Notamacropus eugenii: one gene and its partner. The protein of the gene in region 1 interacts with the protein of each later gene in a biochemical or structural test. Links are inferred from orthologs where the notes say so. Each region holds a gene or a part of one and is shown on either strand. Other genes may lie near its edges.

Region 1 (3,744 bases):
ATTATACTTAATTATGTACTTATATTGAATACCCCCTCAATCCCAGTAAAATGTAAGCTCCTCAAGGCTAAGGACTATGACATTTTCATCTTTGTATTCAGAGTGCCTACCATAATACATTTTAATGTAGTATTGGGAGTGATGCATGTTTGTTGAAATTGGTCTCTTTTATTTCTTCTACTTAGTCAACTTCTATGAATCTCTTTTGAATCAATATTCCTAATTCCTTTATTATCACTTGCTCCTTGGCAGCCAAGAGGAACTGTATACTTGTCGGTTTTGAAACTTGTGCAGTACACATGGTGGGTCACACTTAGTTGTAAAGTAAACAGCCAGAGAGGGTGAAAAGGGCATTTAATGAGCCCAATTGACATACCTGGGAAAAGTAAATAGTAAAAATATAGCTTCAAAGTTTATGTCCAGGAACTCTTACTGGAGGGAGGGAAAGCCTGCTTGAGAAGTTTAGCAAGGGAATAGGAGTCAGAAATATTGACCCCATTTTTGTCTCCGCTGCTGATTTGGTGTCTGACTTTATATGAATATTAATCTGTTATTTTCCCAGCTGGCAAAAAAATACAATGATACTCCTTTGTAAAAACACTTTAAGATTTAAGAAGAAAAAGGGTATTATTGAAATGTAAACCATGCATTCATTATTTTAAATACATATGACTAATTCCTTCACTGGCATTATACAATGAAGATTATAGCCATACTTCACTGGGATATATGTAAATCAACAATCCAATAATTTCAAAGTAAACAAATTTGCTGAAGAAACAACACAAATAATACTCAACAAACTTTCTCCCATTCCAATTTGTTCAACTCAAATGTCAGTGCGTACCTTTTTTTTTTTTTTTAACAATACCTTTGGAGAATTTACCAAAGGTGTGCTTGGCACTTTAAAAAAAATTTATAAAAGGAAGGAAGAAAGAAAGACAAGGAAAGGAACTCACGCATCAGAACTCAAGGCAGTACAATGCTTTCGAGAACTTCCTAAAAGTGAAGAATTGTGATTTCTTCCATGTATTTTTTTTCTTTCAGGATCCCTGGCAAAGTTGTGCCGAGTTTGCGCTTCAAAGACGTTTGATTGCTTTCAGGGTCAGTCAGGTTTTGCTTACAGAAAGTGAACTGAGAAATCTGACGGAGGACAGGTACGTTTACCTAGTGCAGTGAGTAACCGTGGATATGGAGAGAGACTGCCAACCAAGGCTGCTGGAAACTGACGAGCCATGAACAGATCTGAGGGGGGGGCAACAGAACCAAATCTACACCTACTTCGGAGGAGGATTTTCCTTTTTAAATAAGCAATTTTTCCAAATTGGGTTGCTAAAGACTTTTGAATCTTCCCTTGAAAGTCTGAAGCAAAAAAAGGCTCGTTTTTTTTTTTTTTTTTTGGTAAAGAAACTCATTAACATCAACACACCAAACACCCCCACAGGAACCTTTCAGCTCCATAAGCCTGCATTTTAGAACAGGTAGAGACCTATTTTTGTGGCTTTTTTTTTTTTCCAAAATGCACCACGATTAATAATAATTGGCAAAGGATTTTAGAGAAGAGGAAGAGGAGGAGTAGGAGGAGAGGCAGGTAGAAGCCTAGGGAAACTGGCAAGTAACCTGTCCTTAGTACCAAGGAAACTGGGCGAGTAAGAGTGCTCTACAAGTTTTCCCAAGCGACTGATTATTTGCCCTAACTTTGCTTCGTATTGCCCCCGGGAGCTTCGGAGAGAAGGGGGAAGACGCAGAGAATGTGCCAAGATCTCGGACTGCACTGGAGGTGCAAGGTAGCGAAGAAGAGGTAATTCTCGGTCTGGGAAAGAGCCCGCTGGGGGCAAGGGAGGCGGAGTAGAGAATTAGGGGGCGGGAAAGGCGGGAGGCTCAGAAGCCACTAGAGAAAGGGGAAGTGTGGAGTGGGGTGGGGAAAAAGCAGCCGGGGCGAATGTGAAGCTGGACTGCCTGTGGCTCGCCTTTTAACCTGGGCATCCGGGGAGGAGGAGGGGAAAGGGGAAAGAGGTGTAAGGGGGCTGGCAAGGAGAGAGATGGGTGGGGGGAGTCTGTAGGAGGTGGTACATGACATCACAGCAACCCAAGTGAATAAGGTGGGGAGAGAGAAGGCAGCAGGAACAGAGTGGACTGGGTCGGAGAGTTTGGCAATTAAGAGTCACCACTGCAGTCTACTCCTGCAGGGCACCCCGGCAGCCCCCGAGGGATCATGCAGAGATCACCCCTGGAACAGGCAAATGTCCTCTCGAAACTTTTCTTCAGGTAAACGTCTTGCTAGTCATCCGTGGTAATGACATGTGCCTGAGGGAAGAGGGGAGTGTGCAGGTTTGTACCAGGGGTTTGGGTCTAAAGGCATTGTTTTTTAATTTGTTTATTGTGAAGTATAACCTTTGAGTGTTTCTCTAAGAAAGGTTCATTTTTCTACCTAGAGACAGCTGAAATGAGAAGGGAGATTAAAAAAAACAACGTGAAAGCAGGCTAGCAGAAATGCATGTGTATTGAGAACAGTTAGGTGAGCTCCCCTAGTTGCAAGACCCTATAAACCTGGGTTTCCTAACTATCTCTCTCTCTGTGTTTCTCTCTCTGTCTCTGTCTCTCTCTCTCTGTCTCTGTCTCTGTCTCTGTCTCTCTCTCTTTCTCTCTGTCTCTCTGTCTCTCTCTCTTGGATCCATTTCGCAGTCTGGTGAAGCTTATGGACCTGTTCTCAAATTAAGATTTTTGAATAATTTAAGGAAATGTTATTCATATACATTAGTGAAATTAAAGATGTAATTATTTTCCTATCCAAGTTCATGGATCTGAAATCTATCTATGGCCCTTTTTTAACTGTTTTTAATAATGCAGTATCTGTTAGAAGCTAAAATTCAAAGGAGCTACTTAAACACTGACTTACCCTATGGTTAGCGTCTTTGATTTTTCCAAAGGAAAGTTATTTACCAAGTGGTTAATAACTAATGATTAAGATATTTCTCCTTTACATATTTAGAGATTTCAAAAACTCCCATATCTATTTTGTTGCAAATGCAGCTAAGACATTGTGTACTGCCATTTGAGGAAGAATATTGAATTAAACACATCTTTTTTTGATGGTGATGAGGAGGAAAACTTTTCTTTGACAGAGGAAATTCTGTTTGCCTCAAAGTACATTTGTCTTTTGAATAATGAAAGAAAATTATTCCAGTTTCTAACATGGGGAAAGCTTAGTTATGCTACTCATGAATTGGAGAAGAGTTCATTGTTTCCATGGAAACAGGAACGGGCAGAGCAATATACTGAATTGTAGGTATATCCAACTAATATTTAATAAATTATTCTTTTGTTCTTGTGTGTGAGATAAGCTATGAAAGTTGGAAGTATCATTTAGTAAGGGTTTTTAATGCTAAGTTTTAGGTTTATAGTCTTAGAGTTTAACTAAATAGCTCTATTTCAGATGAAAAGTACTTCTAAGATGGATGTTCAGTTGCTCTCTTTCATTTTCACTTTTTCCTCAATGAAATAATAAATACAACTACTTTGATGGAAGTTATCTTACTCAATTTTCCAAAACCTTTTATTCAAACATTAACAGAATTTGATAACCAAAAGCAAATCAAATATGAATGTATATCTATATATAGTACTTAGTGTATATGTGTATATATGTGTGAATATGCATTTTAGAGGGGGGAATGTTTATTCTCATATCCACCTTGTATCACCCTTCCTAATATTTAATTTTATGTATGTGTCAGGGGAATT
Region 2 (3,744 bases), on another chromosome or scaffold:
TGTGTGTTTTTCAGAATTAAACTGCAGTATTTTGGAGAGTATATCAAGTCCCACGAATTCCTTGAAGAGGGTTTGGTGGGAGGCAGTGGGCTCTACCTCTTCCTCCTGGGGATATGAAGCTAACTAGGCAGATTGCATGGGGAAAATCCAGAGGCCAGGGCCAGGCTTTTCCCCCTTTTCCTCATGATTCCAAGAAGTCCCAGGAAGCTGCTGACAACAAGGCCAAGGGAATGGATACTTCAGATAGTCCTGGCAACCTGGCTGGCATCAGGATTAAAGATTCCCCAAGAGGGCAATGGGTAATGTACCTGTAGGGGAAAGTGTGCTTTTTTTTGCCCCAGGTCATTTTTCCTGTGGAATCAGCTTTGGGAATTTTGTCTAACCTGGCTATAATCCAAGCTGTGTTTGGCTCTACCTCGAATTCACTTATTTCTTCAGACTATCATCTTGATCCTTAACAGGCCCCATCAGATCACATCACTACCTCCTCCCTCCCCTTTCCCCTTGTCAGATTAGATGAGAGATCCATTCCTCAACCTAGCAATCTCCGTTTTCTCGGCGGGAAAAACCACATTACCCTCTGGGCTCCTTTTCCCTTGGAGAAGTACCTGGGTTGGGGGAGAGGGGGGATTAGCTTCCCCCTCCCCCGCCCCAGAAGAATTTAGGCCGGTGCCTACACACACACACACACACACACACACACACACACACACACGCATTGTGGTTCCAAAAAGCTTCGGTAACTTAAAGGATGTCGTTATTTAAACATCTCTAGGGAGGAAGAAGTGGGTGGCTAGGCCATGTGTCCTTAGTACTAAAGTTTTCTGAGAGTTTGCTGTCCCTGGAAGGGAAAGCGATTTGTCCATAGAGGTGGCCTTCCGATTCACCGCACTAATCTCACAATCTGATACAAACTACACCCAAGGCCAAACCTGAACACCCTTTTCCCGGGACTTTCAGCGTCCCAGGTTCCAGCCTCTCCCCTAGCTGCAGGTCGGCCGCAATAGCCGCAGTCCTTCGAAACCATTCATCAGGGACCAGGAGCCAGGCTTCCGAGATCCGGAATCCAGCTGAGGCAGATGCGTCGGCGCTGCTAAGGGAGCCCAGCTGTGATTCCTTCCCTCCAACTCCAGATGCCACACCTTCCACCCCCGCCTAGCTGAAGCTTTGTAAAGCACCTCTCTAGCACTTTTTCCTCCGCCCGGCTCGGAGTGCCAATTAGCAACCCCCCCCCGCCCCTTCCACGTCCCCATTGGCTCGCTTTGTTCAACCAGCTAGAGCACCCCCCCACCCCCTTTCTCCGCCGGTTCCTAATTGGGCCGGAGCCGCCCCTCCTCCGGGATAAGGGGCTGTGACAGGTTCTGAAAAGCTCAGACCCTGGGCGGCCCTGGCCTTGGTCCCTTCCCTTTACTTCGGAACTCAGAGGAGTTCCTCCCCCGATACCTCTTCCCTCCTCCCGAGCCGGGGACTCCTCGCCGCGTTTCATCCCGGATCCCCGCCTCCTAGGGCAGGGGGGTGGGAGGGGGTGATTGGTGAACCGGCCCCATCCGCAAGCCGCCGAGCTGCTCCGGAGCGAGATGAGCGCAGACGGCGACTCCGGGAGCCCCCTGCCCCGGCTCTGTAACCTGGAGAAGGGGCCGAATGGCTACGGCTTCCACCTCCACGGCGAGAAGGGCAAAGTGGGACAGTTCATCCGGCTTGTGGAGCCGGGCTCGCCGGCCGAAAAGGCGGGACTGCTGGCCGGGGACCGGGTGGTGGAGGTGAACGGCGAGAACGTGGAGCAGGAGAGTCACCAGCAGGTGGTGAGCCGCATCCGAGCGGCGCTCAGCTCCGTGCGCCTGCTGGTGGTCGACCCGGACACGGACGAGCGCCTGCAGAAGCTCGGCATCCCGGTGCGGGAAGAACTGCTGCGCGGCCAGCCCGGGGAGCGGCCAGCCGAGCCTGCCCCGCAGAGGGCCGCGGAGGAGCGGGAGGAGCGAGGCGAGCAGCAGCAGCCCGGAGCGGCCGGGGAGCCGCGGGAAGAGAAGAGCCCACCCGAACAGGTAACTCACTCCTCGCGGGTCTGGGATTCCAAAGGGGGAGGGGAAAGGAGGTTCGGGGAGGCCCCCTGGGGTCTTTGGCGTAGAGCCGCGTGCCGTAGCCCCCAGTTCGCCGCTGTTTTCGTTCTGAAGCCAAAGCCCGCGTATAGGGAGGCTGTTTCCGCTGCTGCTGGCCCGGCGGACGCGTGTCTCTCAGCAGATTGTCCCTGCTCCTGTCCCCTCGCCCCCACCCTGGTCCCGTCTGAAGCAGACCGGCTGCCGCCTCTTTCTTAGGGAAGTTGATGAGGTCGGCTCCTTTTCAAGCACAAACCTATGTCCGCTGCCCCACTCCCCATCTGTTCTCTAACAGGGAGCCCCCCACCCCCCAGCTGCAACCGAAAGAGTGGAGGGGTGGAAGCCTGTTTTCAGCGGGGAACAGGCGCTGTCACTGCCCCCTCGCGTGCGTGTGTGTCTGTCTGTCTGTGTCTGTGTGTGTGTTGGCCCTGAGCCTCCTCTCTGCAGCCACAGGTGGGTGGGAACTGGAGTTCAGGGATGCCTGGAGAGTCCAGCAGAGACTGCAAGAGCGAGCTAGAGGAATATACATCCTCATCCTGTCCCCCAAAAGGAGCCACAGTCGCGTGTGTGTGTGTGTGTGTGTGTGTGTGTGTGTGTGTGTGTGTGTGTGTGTGTGTGTGTGTGTGTGTGTGTGTGTGTGTGTGTGTGTATGTGTGTGTGTGTGTCTGTGTGTCTGTGTGTCTGTGTGTCTGTGTGTGTGTGTAGAACCGGGGGGGGGGGCAATATAGAGAAAAGGGGGAAATTGGAAAAGGTTGTTTTGTTTCTTTTAACCTTTAGGAGAGAGTAGGGGGGAGCGTAACTTGTGTATCATTAACCTCAGTCAGGTTGGACTTCATCTCTCCCGAAGTATGAGGCAGCTTCTAAGAAAGAAGGAACAAACCCCACTTCCTTGGGGCAGGAAGGGATTGGAACGGGGCAGAGGCCAAAGATGGGGGTGGGGAAGAGGAGAAAAGAAGTGAGGCTCCAGGGTAGCGATACAGCCACCGAAGAGGATTTATGAGTCTTAGGAATGTGAGAAGTAAGCAGAAGTCTTTATCTGGGAAGCTTGGGAAAAGAGGCTTGGAGGGGACCTGGTGAAGGGAAAGTGGGGGATTTCCCAGGGCAAACAAGCTGGGATAATTTGCTGCTTTTTCCATGTTTGGTGTTTCCCCAAATGATCCCAATTTGGATCAGCTGGTGGAGGATGGGGGCTGGAGAAATATAGAGTTGTTGTTCTGAGTTATCTGTCCCCTGAGATTATGGGAGATTTTAGAGTCAGGAAGGGGTGGGTCCCTGGCCTTGCTGAATTCCAGGGGCTCAGTGCTGGTGCCCAGCCTAGGAGGAACAGAACCTAGGTCCTCAGCATTTGGTCTCCCAGAAAATTGGACTGCTAACTTGCAACCAGATGGTTTCCTGCTGGCTAATGTGGACAGTGCTGGCACTAGAGACTGAGCAGAGCTCAGAGTGGAGGAAGGGCACCGTGCAGGGAGACTGGGGGCAGGGTGGAGAGGGCCAACAGGTTAGGTCGCCAGGAACCTTTTCCTGGATTTAGCTGGGTGCTGGGAACACCATCCTCCACCTCCACAGGCTCTTACTTCCTGTCTGTGCCAGGTTGGCTCTGCTGAAGGCACATGTTCAGGGAAGGGAGGGCAGGAGCGAGACTCAAGTTGGT

What was found.
Region 2: the proteins of CFTR (region 1) and NHERF1 form a complex in vitro, tested with the Homo sapiens proteins (9 studies listed by BioGRID and IntAct, with this or other methods). The link is inferred for Notamacropus eugenii from reciprocal best matches to the Homo sapiens genes CFTR and NHERF1.

What each region holds. Positions count from the first base shown.
Region 1 is NC_092874.1:135,437,354-135,441,097, reverse strand, and holds the start of CFTR (cystic fibrosis transmembrane conductance regulator), read left to right. Parts: upstream 1-964; 5' UTR 965-1,801; intron 1,802-2,037; exon of another isoform or gene 2,038-2,189; 5' UTR 2,190-2,215; coding exon 2,216-2,268; intron 2,269-3,744. UniProt on the Homo sapiens protein: Epithelial ion channel that plays an important role in the regulation of epithelial ion and water transport and fluid homeostasis. Mediates the transport of chloride ions across the cell membrane.
Region 2 is NC_092873.1:340,487,850-340,491,593, forward strand, and holds the start of NHERF1 (Na(+)/H(+) exchange regulatory cofactor NHE-RF1), read left to right. Parts: upstream 1-1,359; 5' UTR 1,360-1,577; coding exon 1,578-2,042; intron 2,043-3,744. UniProt on the Homo sapiens protein: Scaffold protein that connects plasma membrane proteins with members of the ezrin/moesin/radixin family and thereby helps to link them to the actin cytoskeleton and to regulate their surface expression. Necessary for recycling of internalized ADRB2.